Linked DNA regions of Callithrix jacchus. The protein of the gene in region 2 binds, or shares a complex with, the protein of the main gene of each other region. Links are inferred from orthologs where the notes say so. Each region holds a gene or a part of one and is shown on either strand. Other genes may lie near its edges.

The links.
Region 1: TIMM50 (region 2) and TIMM17B share a complex: the UniProt entries of both Homo sapiens proteins name them as parts of the TIM23 complex. The link is inferred for Callithrix jacchus from reciprocal best matches to the Homo sapiens genes TIMM50 and TIMM17B.
Region 3: TIMM50 (region 2) and TIMM21 share a complex: the UniProt entries of both Homo sapiens proteins name them as parts of the TIM23 complex. The link is inferred for Callithrix jacchus from reciprocal best matches to the Homo sapiens genes TIMM50 and TIMM21.
Region 4: TIMM50 (region 2) and TIMM17A share a complex: the UniProt entries of both Homo sapiens proteins name them as parts of the TIM23 complex. The link is inferred for Callithrix jacchus from reciprocal best matches to the Homo sapiens genes TIMM50 and TIMM17A.

Annotation. Positions count from the first base shown.
Region 1 is NC_133524.1:49,452,274-49,457,114, forward strand, and holds the end of TIMM17B (mitochondrial import inner membrane translocase subunit Tim17-B), read right to left. Parts: intron 2,795-4,841; coding exon 2,731-2,794; intron 1,909-2,730; coding exon 1,780-1,908; intron 1,688-1,779; coding exon 1,577-1,687; intron 1,488-1,576; coding exon 1,399-1,487; 3' UTR 1,093-1,398; downstream 1-1,092. UniProt on the Homo sapiens protein: Essential component of the TIM23 complex, a complex that mediates the translocation of transit peptide-containing proteins across the mitochondrial inner membrane.
Region 2 is NC_133523.1:34,961,413-34,967,413, reverse strand, and holds the start of TIMM50 (mitochondrial import inner membrane translocase subunit TIM50), read right to left. Parts: upstream 3,587-6,001; 5' UTR 3,571-3,586; coding exon 3,463-3,570; intron 2,517-3,462; coding exon 2,366-2,516; intron 1,837-2,365; coding exon 1,805-1,836; intron 1,587-1,804; coding exon 1,565-1,586; intron 1-1,564. UniProt on the Homo sapiens protein: Essential component of the TIM23 complex, a complex that mediates the translocation of transit peptide-containing proteins across the mitochondrial inner membrane. Has some phosphatase activity in vitro; however such activity may not be relevant in vivo.
Region 3 is NC_133514.1:116,565,975-116,571,736, forward strand, and holds the start of TIMM21 (mitochondrial import inner membrane translocase subunit Tim21), read left to right. Parts: upstream 1-2,279; 5' UTR 2,280-2,562; coding exon 2,563-2,863; intron 2,864-5,762. Other genes in the region: FBXO15 (F-box only protein 15), read right to left, coding at 1,446-1,561. UniProt on the Homo sapiens protein: Participates in the translocation of transit peptide-containing proteins across the mitochondrial inner membrane.
Region 4 is NC_133520.1:28,980,601-28,986,483, reverse strand, and holds the start of TIMM17A (mitochondrial import inner membrane translocase subunit Tim17-A), read right to left. Parts: upstream 4,040-5,883; 5' UTR 4,023-4,039; coding exon 3,997-4,022; intron 2,576-3,996; coding exon 2,476-2,575; intron 2,346-2,475; coding exon 2,282-2,345; intron 1-2,281. UniProt on the Homo sapiens protein: Essential component of the TIM23 complex, a complex that mediates the translocation of transit peptide-containing proteins across the mitochondrial inner membrane.

The DNA.
Region 1 (4,841 bases), on a different chromosome or scaffold from region 2:
GACTTGCAAGAAAGGGACGGTTTTCATGTCTCTTGAGGTCATTCCCAACTAGAGCAGTTTGTGCAGAGGAAACCAGTGACTCCTCAGGAAGTTTTTGCGCCTCCCCGTGGCATCTGCATCCCAGTGAAGGCAGTGTTTGCCCCACCCATGTAGAGGTTTGTGCAGAAGTCAGTTTTGGCGGGAGAACCCATGTCCACTCAAAAAAATGTCCTAGCTCCCTCATCCCAAAATGAAAACTGATTTCTGGTTATTTTGTGGTTACCCTTTAAAAACACTTGACCTGGTCAAACTGGTCTCCTGCACCCCCCCCAACACCTGTAATCCCAACACTTTGGGAGGCTGAGCGGGCAGATCACCTGAGGTCAGGAGTTTGAGACCAGCCTGGCCTACATGGTGAAACCCCATCTCTACTAAAAATGCAAAAACTTAGCTGGGCTTGGTGGTGTACGCCTGTAATCCCAGCTACTTGGGATGCTGAGAAAGGAGAATCACTTGAACCCAGGAGGTGGAAGTTGCAGTGAGCCGAGCTCATGCCACTACTACTACATCCTGGGCAACAGAGAACATCTCAAAACAGCAACAACAAAACAAAGACCAGGCCACCTTGAGGGAGCTAGTCTCCCGGCCCCTCCTTCCATCCCAGATCCACCCTGAGGCCACACAGAGGGAGGGGAATCACCTTTACAAATGCTGTGCTGAGCATCCAGAAAGAAAGGACTCTGGTGAGGCCACATTTCCCAGCCTCGGAGATGGGGGCTTGTGGAGCAGGGGTCAGGGGTACTGGGGTGTGTGTGTGTGGATGGGGTCAGGGGCACAACATCCAGAACCACCCCCACCCCCAGCAATCCTGGTGTTCACTCCCTTCTTTCCCAGGCTTGTTCCTCTGACAGACCCATCACCTGGCCCCAGACAACCTTATTCATGTCCCTAATTCACATCTTCAATCTCCCTTCCTGTTCATTCATCCCATAGACATTTACTAGAGCCCACTTGCTGTGGGTCTCCAAGTCTGGGGCTTCTGAGTCCCTTAAGCAAGCTCTGCTCCTTGTCCTATGGAGGGGCCCCATAGGCAGCTCAAGGAGTCCACACATAGGCATTTCAAAACGGACTTTATTATTTTTTTTTCAAAACGGGCTTTAAATACTTATTGGGGTGCCACACAAAGGAGCTGGGGTGAGAACTTGGTACAGTGAGTGTGGGGCTGGGGTGCCCTGAGAGAGAAAAAGGGGGACCCATCTGTCAGGGCAGCTGGGGTGCCCCATCCCCACCCTGGGACTAGGGAGCAGAGTAGAAGCCCTCTCTGGAGGGTCCCAGGGCTAACTGGGAGCCAGCCCTCCCTTCGAGGTAGATCATCGGGGAGGGAACTGAGAAGCAGCTCCCATGGTGGCAGTGGCTTCCTCAGTGGTACTGCTGATAGCTGGGATAGCCTGGGGGTGGGGTGCCATCCTTAGGGGGCAGCTGGCTGGGGTCCTCCAGGAATGGGGGTGCTGGAGAGGGGAGAATCCGGTAAGGATGAGTGGAAGAGGCCAAGTGGAGCATTTCCCACTCCCCTCACCACCATCTACCAGGTACTCACCATTTCGGAACTGCTGGGCCGTGTAGCGAGTGAGGAGGATGCCAACACCCTCGATGAGGGCCAACAGGATGCCCCCCATCATTGCTGAGCCCATCATGGCCAATGGACCACCTGGGGGAGTTGGGGGCAGAGAAACAGAGGTGAGGGCAGGCAGAACAGGGTGGAAGAGGCTGGGGTCAGGGCCAGGGCCAGGGGGCACTCACTGCGGGCAGCCAGCACAGCCCCGGTCAATGCTCCACTGGTGATAGAGTTCCAGGGATCCTCCTTGCCCCGAAGCCGCACCAGGCCACAGTCGATGGTGGAGAACAGTCCCCCCCACACTGCAAAGCTACCTGTAGTGGGAACAAGGCCTAATTAGTTCCTGGGAAATCCCAAGAATTCACATCTCAGGGGGCTTCCAAGGCCTGAATGCTTCGGCCAAGAACAGGGAAAAAAAACCCAGACACAAAGGCAGATAGCAAATCCCCAGAGAGTATTTCCTATCTGTCCCCATCCTGTGGGGAGCTCCCACTTCAAGTCATCTATAATCACCATCGACATTCCCTTCACCTTTATGGGGAGCTGACAAATGTTTACAAGCAGATATATCTTCATATAGCCTTTAACAGAGCAATTTTGATCTTCATAATCACCACACAGAGTTGGAATTCTGATTTGGGTTTCAGTGAGAAGAAAATAGGTTAGAAAAGCCAGTTAATTGATGTTAAAATTAATCAGTTAAAATGTTTACTGAGGGCTTACTGTGTGCCAGGACCTGTTTGAGGTACTGTGTTGACTTCTGCAATTTTAAATTAGTTAATGTTATTAAAATGTTTAGCATAGCAACAAGCACTTAGTAGTATGTAAATTACATAAACTACAAAACTACTGATAAGGTGGTTACTGTTATCACCACCCCCATAGAACAGGTGAGGTTCAGAGAGGTTAAGCCACTAGCCCAAGGTCACATGGCAGGGAAGAGTCAGGACCTAAATTTAAACTCCAGAACCCACTTTCTTCCCCTCCATATTCAATTGTTAGAAAACAACACAACCCTGGAAAGTCTCTGGCAGGGGCTAGAATCTGAACCCCCAACTTGAAGCCTAGACCTGAAGGATCAACCACTCTCATCTTTGCCAAGACATCTCCTATATCTATATCCCCAAGCCCCTCACCTCCAATCTGGGGGGCTCGGATCCTCACAGCGTTGGCACTACCTCTCAACCGGTGCCGAATTCCCTGGGGAAAGGAAGAAAGGGAGTCAGAGCAGGGCTGAAGCCACTGGCAGATGGGTTTCCAGCTTTTAAAAGAGGGAAGAAGATGGGAGATCTGTTAGAGGTATCAGCCATAGAGATGTGGAGAAGTGGCCAAGAACTAGGGGTGTGGAGAGTGCCCCAAAATGGATGTTCTCAGAGCTGAGTTGACAAGTACTAATTCATTCATATATTTGTTCATTCATTCAGTAAATGATTAACAAGTACCGCCGCTGGGCACAGTGGCTCACGACTGTAATCCCAGCAATTTGGGAGGCTGAGGCAGGCAGATCACGAGGTCAGGAGATTGAGACCATCCTGGCCAACATGGTGAAACCTCGTCTCTAAAAAAAAAAACAAAAAACAAAAAACAAAAAAAACAAGTACCTAACTATATGTGCCATGTGCCAGGCACCATGCCATATACAGGGATACAGCCACGAACAAGGTAGATCTGCTCCCTGCCCTCTCAGAGGTCACATTAACAGTGGGAGACACAGATCCTGAGGCAAGGGTAGATAAACAAGGGAGCTTCAAACAGCAATCTGCACTTTAGCAAAAACACCATGAAGAAATAGGATTGGGGCTGAGGTGTCAGGAAAGGCCTCTTGAAGGGGGGGAATTCATGCTGAGACCTTGATGATGAGAAACTTGGCCAAAGATCCAGGAAGGAGAGTTCCAGGAATCTAGGGGAGGGATGGGGCTACATATGTAAATTGCAGAGAACTTGGCAAATAGATGGCATTAAAGCCACAGCATTTTCAATCTTCTGGGAAGGGAGGTGGTCAGAGTGAGGGAATCTGTGGGGATCGCTCCCGTGTGAGGCCCCTGGGAAACGGGCCTCGCCATACGGTAAGCTTGAGCCCGGACACAGATCCCCGGTTGGGGGAGTCGAGCTGAGGGAAAGCAGGAACTGAGAGAGGGACTATGTTATTCTAAATAGTTAACAGACATTACTTTATGGATATGAGGACTTGGGAGTCAATGTGTCCACTTTCGGCTCCTTATGGTTTATTGCTTGATTGTGTTCATTTTGGACCCTTGTTACCTTCATTGTAAAATATTAACTTAAGTATTTACACTTGGTAACTTACTTACCATAACTTACTGGGTGTAACTGTAACTTACTTCCCATAGCTTACTGGGCATGACTGTAACTTACTTACATTGATCTATTGGGCGTAACCTAATTACTGAAAGTAACCTACTTACTGGGCGTAACCTACTTAATGGGATTAACTTACTTACTGGGCGTAACTTAGTGGGCGTAACTTGCTTACTGTAACTTAAGTACGTTGATCTGGTGTAAACAACTTTGGCTTCAGAAAAGTATATCATGAAATGTATTGCAAAAATAAAATTGCTGCTTGGACATAGCCTAAGCCAGCCCTCCAGACTCCACTTTTCTATTTTCTTTCACTTTCCCGCACTCTCTCCCTCAGGTTGAACGAGACATCTACGTTGGCGGTCTTGGGGACTCCTGCGGGTCGGTAGTCCCCAGGCAGACGTGCCGGACCCCGACATCAGAGAAAAAGAAATACGTTAAAAAAATTATCTCAACTTTAAGGCTGTCTTCCCTCTGGCAATTAATTCCTGTCATTTTCCTCTATCCAGGTTTCTGAGCCAGAATCTGCCTCTAGTACTGCCTGTAATCCCAGCACTCCGGGAGGCTGAGGTGGGTGGATCACTTGAGCTCAGGAGTTAGAGAGCATCCTAAGCAACATCTTGAAACCCCATCTCTAAAAAAAAAAAAATTAGCTGGGTGTGGTGGCACAGTCCAGTGGTCCCAGCTACTTGGGAGGCTGAAGTGGGAGGATCACTTGAGCCTGGGAGATGGAGGTTGTAGTAACTGTGATCGCACCACTATACTCCAGCCTGGGAGAAAGGGCAAGATGCTGTCTCAAATTAAAAAAAAAAAAAAAAAGGCTGGGTGCAGTGGTGTGATCACAGCACTATAATCTCAGCACTTTGGGAGGCCCACTAGGCAGGTGGATCATGAGGTCAGGAGTTCGAGACCAGCCTCATCAATATGG
Region 2 (6,001 bases):
CGGCTAGTTTTTTGTATTTTTAGTAGAGATGGGGTTTTACCATATTGGCCAGGCTGGTCTTGAACTCCTGACCTTGTGATCCACCCACCTCGGCCTCCCAAAGTTCTGGGATTACAGGCGTGAGCCACTGCGCCCAGTTACTTTTTCATTTTAGTTTATTTTTTTAGAGGTGGAGACTCATTCTGTCGCCCAGGCTAGAGTGCAGTGGTGAGATGACAGCTCACTGCAGCCTGTAACTCCTGGGCTCAAGTGATCCCACCTCAGCCTCCTGAGGAGCTGGGGCCACAGGCTGAAGGCCACCACTCCCAGCTAATGAATCCAGTATAAAACAGTAAACATACATGGCTGCCTACTTCAATACAGTGTTTTTAATGTAATACATGGGCCCATCTCTTAAAAAAACACAATATATTTGGCCAGGAGTGGTGGGTCACACCTGTAATCTCAGCACTTTGAGAGGCTGAGGTGGGCAGATCATGAGGTCAGATCAAGACCATCCTGGCTAACATGGTGGAACCCTGTCTCGACTACAAATACAAAAAATTAGCTGGGCGTGGTGGCAGGTGCCTGTAGTCCCAGCTACTCGGGAGGCTGAGGCAGGAGAATCTCTTAAATCCAGGAGGCAGAGGTTGCAGTGAGCCGAGATCACGCCATTGCACTCCAGCCCAGGCGACAGAGCAAGATTCCGTCTCAAAAAAAAAAAAAATTAGCTGGACGTGGTGGTATGGACCTGTAGTCCCTGCTACTCAGGAGGCTGAGGCACGAGAAACACGAACCTGGGAGGTGGAGGTTGCGGTGAGCCAAAATTGCGCCACTGCACTCCAGCCTGGGTGACAGAGCAAGACTCTGTCAAAAACAAAAACAAAAACAAAAAAACCCCACAATATCGAAAGCAGTTAGACTAGTAAACATATACACTTTAAACCTCCAGGTTTTCCTGCCCAAGTTAAATCAGCATAGTGATTTGTTGAAGCTAGCAAGATTCTAATCTGCCCAGTCAAACCAGCACTCACTCACCTGCCCAGTGTGAAAGACTGTATTAACATGACTGTTTGCAAATGTCCCCACATAAACAGGTGGCTTTCTGGATCCACCAATTTCATTTGACAAGACTGACAACTACTCTACTATCCAATTTGTCAGAAATTTCAGCACCAAAAGCTGGTTAACCAGATGGGGTGGGAGGAAGGAGGCATTGTTTTGAAAATGAGACTAATGGAGTAGGGGCTTGGGGGGGTTGGGTAAAGAGTTGGGAGCTGCAGATGCTCAGTCTAAGGCACAGGAACCCACGTGTCTGGAGATAGGCCACCCTGTGTCCCCAGGCCCTCCCACCCAAGGCTCCCCACCCCCATCTGTCCCTGACCATCTGCTCAGGGCTGAGGGGCCAGGGAAGTGGGCTTGGGCTTTGTAAAGTCCCTCCCCACAAAGCTATCCAGCTGCTGGCTCCCCAACCTCCCCAATGGAAGGAGGAGGGGCCAGAGACACCAGATGGGGAAAGACACATCCTTACAAATGACAGAGCTGAGAGGGTCGGGGACTCCAGAATCTGTGCTTGTTTACTCACCATTGTCGAATTCATCAGGAATCTGGGAGGTAGAGAGAAAAATGGAAGGTTTAGGATGTCAGAGGCAGAACCTCATCACACCCATAAAAGGAATCTCCAGGACCCCAAGAGGAATAAGCAAAGGTCCTTAGGAAAGAAAGGCTCACTCCAGACCAGCAATGAGCCTCAACAAACCAAAGGGGACCCCTCTCACCCACAGGCTAGGACTCCTGGCAAGGCCTCAGTCTCTTTTCCCCTCACCTTGGCACCTTTTTCGTCCACAGAGTTGTTTCCTGCAAGGGAAACCAGGATGAATATGAGGAATTGGGGTGCAGTCTCCTAGGTCCTGAGGGAGGAGTGGGATAGGAGGCCTGGACTCCTGGATCTGAGGGAAGAGAGTTAGAGGCACAGCCTTCTGGATTCAAGCCAGGAGGGGGCTGGGAGCCAAGATTCCTGGGTCTTTGAGAGAAAGGGGGCTGGGTCTGTGTCTCTTGAGTCTGAGGGATAAAGGAACTAGTGGGAAGGCTGGATTTTTGGGTGCTGAGGAAAGACAAAGTTTAGGAAGCTGATCTACGCCTATCCTTCCCCATCTTCCCCTCTTTCCTCTATCCTGGTACAGGAACCAACTAGAAAGACTAGAACCTTAAGAGGTAGAAGGGAGAAGAATTCCCTGGTTTTCAAAGGTAGGTGTCCTACTTGGCTGCCCTATGGAGGAGAGCCAGGGAATTAAGATGGAGAGGTTTGAGTGGGTAAGAGTGAGAGGTTCCACAGCGGACGAGGGAGGCAAGGAATAAAACTAGGGGGCAGCGATATGTCCCTCACCAAAGATATAGACGACGCTCACGGTCCCACCAGCTCCAAGCAGTCCAGCAAGCCAGAGAGCAACTTTTTTGGCATAGCTGGGACCCTCTGAGCCCGGCTGCTGCTGTGGCCCCTGTGCCTGAGTGCCCCCGCGGCTCCCGATCTCAGCGACCTGCGGTTGAGAAAGGGGAGGTCAAGAGAGAAGAGCTGATCGTTCCAGCATTCCAGTCCAAGAAGAATCAAGTTCAGGAGTCAAGAGGCAGACACCCACAGAGCCTGGACGTCTGTGTCCCTGGAGGGGCAGTCAGGAAGTGGGGCTGCTCAGAGGGTCAAAACCAGACTGTCCAGCGCCAGGATGCCAAGAGTTTTAAGAGCCAACAGGCCAGGTGCACAGGATCCTGCAGACAACACGACTAGAGGGTGTGGAGCCCGGAAAAGCAGATCAGGGAGAATAAGGGATGGGAAGGCCTAAACTCTGGGATGTGAAGGAACGCAGGGCACAAGGGGGAGGGGTGGGAGGGCGGGAAGGGGCAGACAGGACCGGGAGTTATGACATCTGGCTGCTTGGGGCTAAAAGGTAGCAGAGTACAGGGTAAGGGATGGGAGCAGAGGCGGCGAGAGGCAATCACTTGTCTGGGGCTTGGGGAACTAGGACACAGAAGTGATAGACTTGGAGGTCAGAATGGCTGGGTCTCTGACAACATGGAGGCAGGTCGAATTGGAAATCCAAACGTCTACCTCACCACCCTCACCACCACCACCACCACCTTGGGAGTAAAAATAACTCCCAAGGCCAGGCTGGGACTCCAGCGTCCCACTCCCCTCCTGCTCAAATAATCACCTGAGTGGTCACTGAGATGGGAAACAGGTAACCCCCTCCTCCTCCGGCGCCCACGTGGGTGGGAGGTGGGATCTGGAGGACACACCTGGGCCCCCAGCCTCCAGGCCAGGGGAGCAAGTGCTATTCACCCAGGAGGCTGGGAAGGGGCCCAAAACCCAAGCGACGTTTTATTCAGCACCCTGAGGTGCGGCGTCCCAGAACCTCCAAGCCGCGGCGATATGTCCGTAACTCCAGGGAGGGGACCCCACATTCAGAGCGCCACCCTCGTTCCGCTCACCTGATCCGGAGCCCGGGGGGGCGGCGTCGCCAACCTCGTGCACAGTCCCCGCAAGCCTAGCCGGAGCCCGCTCCGCAAGCGCGATAACAGAGCTACCGAGGTCGCCATCTTGCGCTGACGCCACGCGGCCCCACCCACTTGCTCCCTTTATTCCCGCCCCGGGCCGGAGCTACAGCCAATGGGAACGCAGAGGAGGGGCGGGCGGACGGAAGCCCGAAATAGACCAAAGGCTTCGGGCGGATTGCCGCAGGCACGTTTGCCCCAACGATTCTGTTTGATGTCCCTGGGGGCACCAACTGGGATCCAAAGTCATCTGGACCACGCCCAACTTGGGCCGTGCGGAGCGCCACCGCCGAGGCAAAGGATGCAGCAAGGGAAGTGGTCAGATTGCCTAGAGGTAAAGCAGAGGCCATAATGAAGGGAATCATTGGCTGCCTGATTTGTCCCAAAAAAAGTCAGGAGTCAGGTCGCTTGTCTCACGTGTAAGGGCATCGGCCTTCGCCTCCCAATTGTCAAAAATGGAAACTGGGGCTTAGAAAGCGACCTGAAAAGCCAGTCCTCAAAACCTTCTGGCCAGGCGCGGTGGCTCACACCTGTAACCCCAGCACTTTGGGAGGCCAAGGCAGCGGATCATCTGAGGTCAGGAGTTCAAGACCAGCCTGGCCAACATGACGAAATCCCCGTCTCTACTAAAAAAATAAAAATTAGCCAGGAGTTATGGGGCGCCCCTCTAGTCCCACCTACTGGGGAGGCTGAGGCAGGAGAGGCAGAGGTTGCAAGGAGCCTAGATTGCGGCACTGCACTCCAGCCTGGGCAACAGGAGGCTCTCTCAAAATAAATAAAAATTAAAATTAAGGCTGGCGCAGGGGCTGCGCAGGGGCTCACGCCTGTAATCCCAGCACTTTGGGAGGCCGAAGCGGGTGGATCACCTGAGGTCAGGAGTTCCAGACCAGCCTGGCTAACATGGTGAAACCCCATCTCTACTAAAAAATACAAAAATTCTCCTGCCTCGGCCTCCCAAGTAGCTGGACTACAGGAGCCTGCCACCATACCCGGCCAATTTTTTTGTATTTTTAGTAGAGACAGGGTATCACCCTGTTGGTCAGTATAGTCTCAAACTCAACTCAAATAATCTGCCCCACCTCGGCCTCTCAAACTGCTGAGATTACAGGTGTGAGCCATCACGCTCGGCCTTAAATGTTTTGTTTTTTCTTTTTTTGAGACGGAGTTTCGCTCTTGTTACCCAGGCTGGAGTGCAATGGCTCGATCTCGGCTCACCGCAACCTCCGCCTCCTGGGTTCAAGCAATTCTCCTGCCTCAGCCTCCCGAGTAGCTGGGACTACAGGCGCACGCCACCATGCCCGGCTAATTTTTGTATTTTTAGTAGAGACGGGGTTTCATCTTATTGATGAAATGTTTTATAATACATTTACATTTGTAAAAAGACAGGAATATCTAATGAGGAAGGGAAGCAGGTTCTGGGTACTAAGCTCCAGTCTCTTTAAGATTGCACCCACTCCTGCCCCACGTCATTGGAAAAGCTACAGCAATCCTGCTGTCACTGCTGTCAGGGCTCAAGAGAATGGACCGCTGAGCACTGTAGCTCACACGTGTAATTGCAGCACTTTGGGAGGCCAAGGCAGGAGTATCACTTGAAGCCAGGAGTTCAAGACCAGCCTAAGCAATACAGTGAGACACATCTCTATAAAAAATATAAAAATTAAAAAGTTATCCAGGTGTGGTGAAGCATGCCTGTAGTCCCAGCTACTTGGGAGGCTGAGGCAAGAGGATTGCTTGAGCCCAGGAGGTTCAGGTTGCCTGGGCAACAGAGCGAGACCCCATCTCAAACAGAAAAGAAGGACCATCAGCTGGATGTAGTGGCTCACGCCTGTAATCCCAGCACTTTGGAAGGCTGAGGTGGGCAGATCACAAGGTCAAAAGATTGAGACCATCCTGACCAACATAGTGAAACCCTGTCTCTACCAAAAATACAAAAAAATTAGCTGGGTGTGGTGGCATGCACCTATAATTCCAGCCACTCAGGAGGCTGAGGCAGGAGAATCGCTTGAACCCGGGAGGCAGAGGTTGCAGTGAGTCAAGATTGTGCCACCACACTCAGGCCTGGTGACACAGCAAGACTCCATCTCAACTTTGCGCAGTGGCAGTATTGTAGCCAATGAGGTTTATCTGAGGCACGATTATTGCTCATTGAAAACTTTTCCCAATACCTCACCATGATGACTTAAAATATAATCAGCATTGGCAGTTTTTGGCAGTCTCAATTGGGACTCAATTAAAAAAAAAGAAAAAAGACTCCATCTCAAAAAAAAAAAAAAAAAAAAAACAGAAGAAAGAAAAAGGACCATCAAGCACTGTATCCTGCACTGCAGGAGGAATGTAGGTTTCCTGGAAGACACTGTGATTTTCACTCAGCATAATTCATGTCTGAATAAGATATGTCAGCAATCACGATAAGCTCTGCTCTGATCTCCTTCGGATGTCTTCTCACACACATTCCCCTCAAACGCCCTCTGGGGCA
Region 3 (5,762 bases), on a different chromosome or scaffold from region 2:
ATAATGCATACATTTCCAAATCAGCTTGAAATGCAGATTCGCATGCCAGGCATAATGACAGGTCCTCTAATTAGATCAATCCACCAGGAAGTTCACTCAATTTACAAAGGATAAAAGATTCATCATATAAAAATCATTCTGCTTCCCCCAGTAGAGCACTATGTAAAGACTAATTTTAGTAATAGCAGCAAATTGATTAAAAGTTCAAGTTTCCTATTTAAATTCCTTTCTCTCCTACGTAAAAGAATTTTTGCAGGCACTGTCACCATTCTATCTGTGACAAGGCTTGTGGTTTGTCTAGAATTATAGGTTTTCAATCAAGAACTATTATCATAGCACTAAGCAACGGGGTTGTGTAAGTGGAAGTAATGGAGCCCTAGGGACGACACAGGACATAGTTCTGCAGATGCGGGGGGTAAAACAGGTAGTTCAACTAGTATGTAACAGACTCCCTTTGTATGCTTAAACACGGACTGTTGGGTAATTATAAGGCAAAATATGCACGACTTTCCACATTTAGAAATCGAAGAGCCTTACGAGCACAAAGGTAGTCCTCAAGAACGTAAACCATTCTTAGCATTATCCCTCCATCTGGTAAACTAACTGCAGTGGTGGGTACATAGGTAGGGAACAGCTCGCGATACAAGGACAGGGATTTCATCAGGTACCAATATGCATGCTGATACTTCTGAAGCACTGGAACGTTTTACTTCTTCACGCTGAAGATGCTTCTGGAAAGCAGAGGCAGCCTCCTGCTCCTTTCCTATTTAAGTCCTCAAAATTGCCTTCTCTCTCACTATGGGAGAGGACCATGCTTCACTTCCAGGGAACCCCAAGAAAAACGGAGAGAGGAGCCTCTAGGGAGCAGAACGAGAACACCACAGGCTCCTGCATTTAGACCGAAGACAGGCAGAATGGGACTGGGAGCTGAGCAAGACCTGGCTCTGACGTCGGAGGTGCAGAAAGTGCTGTCCCCCGACTCCCCAAACCAAACTGCCTGCCAGAGGTATCTGCTTGGGGGACGGGGGTGTACACTGGAAAGGTTTTCCTGAGCAGATTCTACTTCCCTACGTTGCACGGTCGTGAGAAAGACGAAGGGAGATTCTTGGTTACAGAAGAGCGAAAATACGAAGGCTGGGGTGGAGCACCGGGAATGTAGGGCAGGAGCCTGGAGAAGCGACTCTTGGCACCTGCACCTGTCCTGACAGGTGAGCGCATCCCCGCGCAGGCGCCGGGAGAAAACAACATTTCCCTGAGAGGCTACTCTACCCCTGTCATAAATCAGGGTGCCCCACGCTGCAGGGTACAAAGGATTTCCTCTGGTCGTTCTTCCAGACCCTTCTCTCGTTGAAGAGAGCCTCGGGCCTTGTGCCCGAGCCTGACGAAGAAAATACAGTGAAAAGAACAGGGCGCGCAGTGAGGGGCTTCCCGCCGGCCCTAGTCACCTGAACCCAAAGACCCTGGAGCGCCCCGGGGCCACGCCAGCGCCCGCGCTGGGCTCGCGCAGCGTCTGGAGGCCCAGCCAGCGATGTCGCAAGATCCGACCGCGTCCAGTCGCCATGGAGACCAGGCGTTCACCACAGGACTGCGCGAGGGCAGAAACGAGGAACGCTTGTTCCAAGATATTCCCCTAGTCGCCACACCCCTAGGCGCATGCGCACGTGGGGAAAAGTTCCGCTGGCCTGGCGCGTGCGCAGACAGCACCGCGCCAGACTCGGCTCAAAGAGCGGGCTTCTAGAAACTTCCGGGCTTGGCTTCTTTACCCACCCCTAACATTCTGCCATCAGGGGCGCCGAGCAAGTCCGCGGCTTATCGTTTAGGAAACCGGAGCCTGATTTGCAGTGGCGTCCCTTCATCTCCACTTGCTGGCTCTTTACTGTCCGGTTTTTCTGATAACAGTGAAACGCAAACACTAAATCATTTGCGCACACAGAATGGCAAGGCCACAGTCAAAGGGAGTATTTCCCATTATGTGGAGTTCTCTCTAGACGGATGAGAAGAACACGTAATTTGCAACTAACTTGGCTTTTGCAAGTACCGCTTGAACCCCTCAGGGTCTAAAATACCAATTGCGCCACAAACGCCCCACTTTCCCGCCGCTCCAACGACGTACAGTATCTGCGCAGGCGCCAGGCGCGGGGGGTGTCTGAGGTCCTGCGCCGTGCTGCGGCAGCCTTGAATTGTGGGAGATGTAGTCTCTTTTGCGCGCCCCAATGTCGCATCCTAGTTAAGAGCAAGGTCTTTAAACTACTATTCCCAGAAAGACGGGGGAATTTTCCAGGTGACTTTGCGAAGGCATGGCAGGGACCCTGTGAATGTCAACCCAGAAGGTAATCAGAGCATTTTAATTCAAATAGAATGAAGACAGAAGGGAAGGTGGACATCAGGTTCTCTGTGGAGACTTTTCGTTTTCATTTACGCTGCTGAAGCTAAGGTTTTTGCCTAACACCCCATGTATGTAAAGGTACAGGCTTGAGTAGGACTCCGGCCGGATGTGAGGTGAACCCTAAAGCTTTCTAATTGTAGTTAGCATCGTCCCTAAGCGGAGCGATTTTTGTGAACATGATTTGTACTTTTCTACGAGCCATACAATATACGGAGAAGCTGCACAGGTCCCCGGCAAAGCGATTACTTTTGCCACACCTTGTGCTTAACAAAGCGTGCTTGAAGACTGAGCCCAGTTTGAGATGGGGGCTTCAATATCAAAAGAAAACAGTGCGACCTAGATGTGTTCTTGGAGTCACCCAGAAAGCCCTCTGGACTCAGGGGCCGAGCTCCCGAAAAGCAAAGGAGGATAGTAGCAAACAAGTGTCGGTGCACAGGAGTCAGAGAGAGGGAACCGCCGTCTCAACAGCACAAAAAGGTAAAAAAATAATAATAATAATGATTGGTCTCTCAAGACAAGAGCTCCCAATACCCTTTTACACCAAGTTCACTGCCAAAGGTGAAAAAGCAATTCACATGAGTTTTTAAAAATCGTTTATAATTTAGAACTAGAACATACAGACCTACAGTTTTCTTTACAGATTGAAACTCAGATTTGAAAGGTGGTCTTTAATATAACTTTTTTGCATTATGTGTGGGAAATTTTTGTCAAGTTTTATTAGCTCTGTTACATATAATAAAGAGTAACTTGATAGTATAAAAAGAGAGATTATTGACGCATAACCAGTAGGGAAAACTTTCAGATGTTACCTGCAATAATAGAAAAACATATAGGGAGGATGGAATGTGATTTGTCAGGGAAAGTCAGAGATATGTTCACAGGTATTTTAAGGTGTGTTTTTTTTTTTTTAATTTTTTCATTTCACGTGTAATTTGTAGGAAAAAAAATAAGAAACAAAGCAATTTATACACCCATGGTTATACCACACAAAGATGACTTTTTTTTAACATTTTGCACTTTCATACACATACTTTTTAATAATTTTAACCCAAAAAATTGAATCATAGTCTACCAATTGTTTTGTAATCTGCTGCATATGCCAAAAATATAATCTAGTTTTTCATTCATAATAGTTCAGCACAAAGGAACAACCCATATGCAGAGGTGAAAGGCATAGAAACGGGCAGGTGTGTCAGGTCATCTGGCTCCGGCAGCAGTGCTGCTGCTTGCACTGCCCACTAGGCCTCCTTAGAGAGCCCTACTGCACCCCGTTCAGAGATGACAGTTCTCGTTACTGAGTAAGTGGATGGAAGCAACATTCCCAAATGTGAAATATGCTGCGTCCAGAATTCAAAGAGGCCTATGAAGCATTGTGTTAGGAGGTATAGGGTGCAACAATTGTCTTTTACTTGCGAAGGCATGTCCTGGCACTCCCCCAGGTAGCCCCACGAGGCCCACTCATGTGTTGGTGAGCCTCTGGATCTTTGTTGGGCCCACCTCTCACACTTGCAACTTGTCTGACTGAGCCTTCTGACACACTTGCCACTTGTTACTTATGGGCTCAAACATGACGGCATAAACATAGTAGACAAATGTGATATTCTGTTCAATGTCCAGAACAGGATTATTCGAATAAAACTTTCTACAGTCATAGAAATGTCCTATATCTGTGCTGTACATTTGGTTAGTTCCTGGCCACTTGTAGCTATTTTGAGCACTTGAAATGTTGTTAAATTATGTGACTGAAAAACTGAATTAATTTAATTTTAATTAATTTAAAATCGAACTGAAATAGCCAGTAGTGGCTACTGTGTTACACAGCCCAGGTCTAGAAGGTGTCAGTCCCTTAAGACTATTATGACAGAGGGTGAGAGAATTAGCAGATCCTGGGCAGGATTATAATAACAGGATAATCCTATTATTATCTGTTTCATGTTACTACAGAGTACTCCTGCTGCTGCTTCTCAGTAGAGACAGGGAAGAAGGCATTCTTCAAATCAATGGCCAATACCATGAGACTGTGTTAATGCACTCCTCTGTAAAGTTACCATATGTGGGATTGCATGTGTACCCTGGCTACTACTTGGTTGAATTTGCAGTGAACCACTGTCATCTCCAGCCCCTATTTGTTTTTTTGTAACGGAAGACTGGTAAATTGCAAGGGACTTTACCACCAGTGGGGACCACCATGCCTGCATTAAGGTCTCTTAATGCAGAATAGCACTCTCTCTGCCATTCCCCATAGATGTGATACTGTTTTTAATTTATTATCTTGGTCACTGGGGCAGTTTTAGAAGCTTCCATTTGACTTTTCCCACGGTGATAGCTCTTAACCCACCTCCAAAAGAACTAAAGTAGGAGTTACTGTTGCCAATTACTCAGTACATCCTCTTGATTTCTACTTTTGGAAATCACAGAAATGATTACCAGGTAAGTCCATGCACCCAGCTATCAGCTTCTTACATGCTGAGGCGGGTCGGAGTGGATCCTTGGACATCACTGTCAGCACAGGTTATGTCCAAGTTGATAACTATAGGTCCTTTTGGTGAAGAACTGGGGGAGTCAGTCACACACACTTTCCTTCTGTAAATGGGCTCCAGGTCTGAAAACTTGCTCAGGTCCAGACTTGCCCTTGGGAACACTGTGTTCTAGTCATCAACTCTTGCTCTGTGCGGGTCAGACACTCCCGACTTGCCATCAGTTATGGTTGCACCCATCTTGGCTTCTGTCTAATACCCCAACCTGGTCTCTGTTTCAGAGTTCTTTTGCTGTCAGGGCATCCTGCTCTGTAAAGATGTAACTGGCTTCCTTGTGGCTTTGGTATTCAGTGTCCTCCAGTTCCTCCTAAGAATATAGTCAGCTGGTGGGTTTTCAGGCTTTATATCTTATGTCTATGGTAGCATCCCCATTCTTCGAGGCTGTTGAGCCTTTCCTCCAGTTTGCCATGGCTGTTCTGTCACTTTTACTTATTATGGACCATCACTGTCTCAAAGTTTACGGGAGCAAACCTAGCCAGCTGCATATCAGTTCCCAGGGTGCTTGCCCGGTTGCTAAATTCATCACAGGAGTGTGCCCCATGCTGATCAATTCTCACGTAGCTGGGTTTGTGTTCTGTGCCCTTGACACACCCCCTTTAAGAGGCAGTGATATGTTATGTATGTTCCCCTGGCTCCCGCTGGTGGGGCCTCCAGCTCCTTCTGTGTATCATTCCTTCTCACCCTTCTCATGCCCAGTTGTGTTCTAATTTGGCCAGGACGGGAGGTGGAGAGACCTCTTGAGGGCAGCATGTGTCTTCCTAGGCAGAAGCCACCCACCCACCCCTTGCCAAGTTTCCAAGATGGAAGAAATGCCAACCTTTACCAGACAATGAGCTGCT
Region 4 (5,883 bases), on a different chromosome or scaffold from region 2:
GCCACAACTAATGGTCCAATATTGATACATTACTATTTTTTTTTTAAGACAGATTCTTGCTCTGTCACCCAGGCTAGAGTGCAATGGCACAATCTCAGCTCACTGCAACCTCCACCTCTCAGGTTCAAGAGATTCTTCTACCTCAGCCTCCCAAGTAGCTGGGATTACAGGCACTCACCACCACACACAGCTAATTTTTGTATTTTTAGTAAAGACAGGGTTTCATTATGTTGACCAGGCTGGTCTTCAACTCCTGACCTTAGGTAATCCACTCCCAAAGTGCTGAGATTATAGGTGTGAGACACTGCGCCCAGCTGACACATTACTATTAATTAGTCCATACTTAATTCAGATTTCCTTAGTTTTTAAATGTCCTTTTTCTGTTCCACCGTACCACATTACATTTATTTTTTTATTTTATTTTTTGGAGACGGATTCTTGCTCTGTCACCCAGGCTGGAGTGCAGTGGCACAATCTCAGCTCACTGCAACCTCCGCCTCCTAAGTGGAAGTGATTCTCCTGCCTCAACCTCCTGAGTAGCTGGGACTACAGGCATGCACCACCATGCCTGGCTAATCATTTAGTTGTTATGTCTACAGAATTCTTTTGGCAGTGACAGTTACCTGATGGCATTTAACTCACTGAAAAGGCATAAGATGATAGAAGCAGCCTCTCAAAAAAAAAGAAAAAAAAAAAAAAAAACAAGCAAAAACCTATATGGCTTTTGCATATACTAGCGGTTCAGGGTTTGGTGCGGACTTTAATACCACTTATCATTCTTGAACAACACCAATACTAAAACAAAGAAAAACTAGTTATAATTACTTGCCAGGGTAGGTAATGATTACAGAGAGAAAAATTGAAAAAGATACATTACCTCAACCCTCAGGGCCTAAATGTCCTCGTCTGGAAAATGGGAGATAATAATAGTACTAATTTCTTCATTATTGTGAGAATTAAATAAAATAATGCTGTAAAACGCTTAGCAGAGTGCTTGGCAAATGCTAAGCACTCAATAAATGGTAGATATTGGCTACTAACTTCTCAAGAAAAACAAAGAGATTATTTTGATGCCCAAAACTTCTAAGGAATGACTGAAATATTAAGTCTTTCTCATGCCTCATATCCAGTCTCTCCAATCTAACTATATCCTTGTGTTGTTTGTTTTTGTTGTTGTTTGAGACAGGGTCTCACTCTGTCACCCCGGATGGAGTGCAGTGGCGCAATCTCACTGCAGCCTCAACCTTTGGGCTAAGTGATACATCCACATCAGCTTCCCTAGTAGCTGAGACCACAGGCACATGCCCCAACGCCTGGCTAATTTTTGCATTTTTCTAGGGATATGGGCAGCCGTGTTCCCCAGGTTGGTCTTGAACTCCTGAGCTCAAGCTATCTGCCCAATTCAGACTCCCGAAGTGCTGGGATTACAGGTGTGAAGCATCGCACCCAGCCCTGACTATACCTTTGTAAGGGAATATAACCTACAAACATTTTTTCATCACCTCCCTTTTCCCAGCTTCTGAATAACTAAGTTTACAAAGTACAAGAAATAGAATCTTTTCAAATTTTGCGATGACTTCTGCAGTGTCCAAAAGCTCACATTAGAGAAGAGCCCAATCAGCTTGATCAGTTTCTCCTGCATGAAACCCCAATCCTTCAGCTCATATTCTTTTCAGCTTTATGTTACCTCAGAAGCCATCATTTCTGACTCACAAACCTGAGCTTTTTTTTTTGAGACGGAGTTTCACTCATTATCCAGGCTGGAGTGCAATGGTGCAATCTTGGCTCACTGCAACCTCCACCTCCTAGGTTCAAGTGATTCTCCTGCCTCAGCCTCCCAGGTAGCTGGGATTACAGGCATGAGCCACCACACCCAGCTAATTTTGTATTTTTAGTAGAGACTGGGCTTCTCCATGTTGGTCAGGCTGGTCTCTAACTCCTAACCTCAGGTGATCCGCCCACCTCAGCCTCCCAAAGTGCTGGGATTACAGGCATGAGCCACCTCACCTGGCCTCAAACCTGAGCTTTAAACACGCTGTCTTTCTTCTGGAGAAAGAAAAAAAAAAAATCACTCAGTATCTAAAGGACAGAGACAAGATTTTCAAATGGGTATCATAAAATTCAGGTTAACTTTTCAAGAAAGAACTATGGGGATATATGTTTGTGACAAACTGTTAGACCAAACTAAAATCATTAATTGTTGTAATCTAAAAATAAAAAATAGCTCCATCTTCAAATAAACAGGAAAAAATAGTTCAGTAAAAAGGAAAATTCTGCTCACCTCCTAACTGCGGAGCCCTGGTTTTAATAGCTGTCAAACTTCCTCGTAGTCTGTGGTTTACTCCCTATAACAAAACAAAGGAAGCAACCAAAACCATATTAGAAGTACATTTCTAAGCCACTGATGGGCCCACCAGTAATACCATCAAACCCAAGTTTCAAATGGTGATAAAATAAGACCATTCACTCACTTACCACTGGAGAATTGCGAAAACCTTTGATTGCTTGAAAGATGCCTCCACCAATGGTACCCATCGTAAAGGCCCCACCACAGTCATCTACAATTCGCCATGGGCTAAGAACGGGGCAAAAAAAAAAAGATGACCATATTTCTCATTCACAAATCATAAAACCTTCTTTGCTAATGCAGTAAGGGAATGGAACAGATTATACTGCAGGACCTGCTGCAATCAATAAATATTTGGCCTATAAAATAACTTCAGGAAATGCTGTAATCAAACAGGCCAGTCAGAAAATCAAAGCAGATTTGACTACAAAGCTAACCAGGTAACTGATTATATATATTGTTTCAGGACATGTGTACTAAGTGAAAGCAAAGGGGCTACCTAGTAATTTAGTAAATGAAAACCCATTATTTTTCTAAGATCTTTAACTCAACACAGTTAAATATTTTAACCCTCTGCTAACCTGTGTCATTACAGTACATCAAACAGCTATTTACAGTATGCTGAGTCCTACATATCTGAGCACAATCCAGAATGGGGATAAGCGCTTTGAAGAAGGTAAGTCTGAAGAGCCAGGAGACCCTAAAACTTGTATTTTGTATGCCATTTGGGAAAGAGGGAAACACAAAACAGGCAACAGGGCTAGGATAGCAGAGTAAAAATTCAAGGTCCTGGGCATTTTCACAAATTGAGGACATCTTGGTTCTTGCTCTTACACAATAAAACAAATGATTAACCAAAATATCAAGATCTGATTTTTTACTTATGACCCCAGAAACTTTAAACTCTGGCAACCTGAGACTTCTGACAGCAATTACATTCTTTTATAATTATTTATGCATGTGGTTTATTCATGCTCAATAAACGCTGAATGAAAGAATGAATTTCTGTCCATGGATTTTCAGAGAACACATGGTATTACCTCTTCCTATTTCCCAGGTAATTTTTGCCCCCCCACCCACCCCCATAAAGAATTCCAAGGAGGAAAACAAAGCCCAACGGCCTAAAGGAGCTTATCCAAACCCCTTGGCTAAAATTTATGTTCCATTCATTTAAAATGCTTCACTCTGCGGATTCACATCATGATACAAGTAAAACCTCAAGAATGGAACCCCCTCAAACGCCTATCTTCTGTTCCTCAACGCAGGAAGTGAGCAAGCGAGGCGGAGGGACGCGCCCAAGGTCACCTCCGGGAACAGAGGGGATTTTAACCGCACAAGATAGACTACGCCCTGCGTTGGGAGAAGGTTCCGAGGTTCTATCAAACTCAAGTCTGGACCTCTTCACCATCCACCCCAAAGTCACAGGGGTGCTGGGTTGGGAGAGCGAGGCTCAAGCGGCCAGGGAGATAGTGGGTACAGGGCTAAGAAAAAGACTGGCGGCGAAAGACCGCACTGCCCAGCATTACCAGGCCCAAATCGACGATGCTGCGGTTGAGTCTGGCTTGCAACTTGGAAGCCTGGACAGGGGAGAAGGAAAGCAGTGAGCGGGGCGGGAGCAAGAGAAATGCAAAGACAGCGGTGAGGCTCACCAAGGCTCTCGCGCGTACTCCTCCATCTTGACTCCGGCGCCGCGAGTGATGCCGGGCCAGCTGGGCGGAGCCTGACTCCAGAGGCGGAAGTGATCACGAGAGGATAGCGTTAAGGTGTATGAGGATTGGGTCACCGTTTTCCCCTGCAGCCAATGGGAGCCGGAATTCCTGTGGCTAGCGTGTGATTGGGCTATTGGCCGTGGCGTGGCGAGACTGGCCCCGCCCACGTCCTCGAAGGCCCTGGGTCCGGGCTGTGTGGGCGGAGAGCTACCAATGACAGAGTCACTACCCAGTTACCAGAGGTTCCGTGGCCCGAGATCAACCCGATGCTTCCTAAATACGCTTCTTTTTCTTTATTTCTTTTCTTTCTTTTGCTTGCTTGCTTTCCTTTATTTTTCTTTCTCTCCTTTCCTTTCCTTTCTTTTTTTTTTTCTTTTTTGGTACTTTTGCCGTCAAATGTAAATTAATGCTACCTTATTCGTCATGTATTGTGAAGCCGTTACCAAATACACGTAGCTCCTTTAGGGCAGACAATGTCTTAGTGATTTATAATAACCACGGTGCCTAGAATGTAGTAGATGCTTAATAAATGTTTGTGAAATAGAACTATTTGGACCATCTGGAGAGCCATGACCAATTTGGAGCCCTCGATTCAGGCACATTGACGCCAGAACCTCTTACAGGCCCCTCCACCAATGATCACCAGAAGGTGTGAAGATGTTTGGCTCAGAGAAGAGGGGACTTATGGGGACCTGGCCGGGGGTGGTGGCACGTGCCTGCAGCCCTGGCTATTCGGGAGACTGAGGGGGGAAGATTGCTTGAGCCCAGGAGGTCTAGCATGCAAGGAACTGTGATCACGCCACTGTACTCTAGTGATAGAGTGAGACCCTGTCAAGAAAATGGGAAAAAACAAAGCGGGGACCCATGGGGCTTTTAGTTTACCGTCAACAAAATCCCAATCATGTGATGGCTGTTAAAGGTGCTCTTCTCCATTCTGTGTGTTTGTAAATGACTTTAAAATTTGTATATATTTATTTTATGGATAAGTCGATATCATAAATAATGGAAGACTGCAAAGGGGAGTGAGGTTCTCTCCAAAAGCTTGGAAATGAAGTAAGCAGATGAATTGACCCCTCCATGGAACTAAATAAATGTGTCTTTCGTGTGAGAATGGTTCATACTACTCATCTGATTTGGGTGTGTAAGTTGGAGAAGACCTGTTTGGAGTGTGACTGTAATTAAGAATAGTTAACTCTATTTAATCGTACAGGCTGAAGAGAGATTGTGGGAGAGGGGAAATGGAGGCATTCAGAGGGCAAGAATCTGATGTTTAGTCAGCACTGCAGACCTGGTGGGTATAAATATTTCAGTAACTAGAGATTTGCACACTCATGGGGCAAAGATATTCTTTCTGATCTCACCAGGACCTAGATAAAATATCCCTTTGCTCTAGCTACCTCCCTTTATTCTTGTTCTGAATTTATTAGACAATCTTCTTCTTAATTGGCTTCTGAATAGATTTCAAAATAGTAGAGAATACCCCAGCCTGTGTTTATAACTATTCTTCTCCATTTGGTAGTTAATACTGGCTTATGTATCTGCCTCTTGTGAGTTAAGTTATTTTGACTAAATCACCAAAAATAGTCAGGGTGTTCCAGAGAAACAGAACCAAGAGCATATATGTATATACATATCCTATTGTGTGCAATAGGATATATATATATATATATATATATCTCCTTTTGGTTCTGTTTCTCTCTATATATAATATATAGAATTAATAAGTATATGTTTATTTATGATGAGTAGTTGGCTCACATGATTATGGAGGTTGAGAAGTCCAATAAGCTGTGTCTGCAAGCTGAGATGGAGGAAAGTCAGTGATGC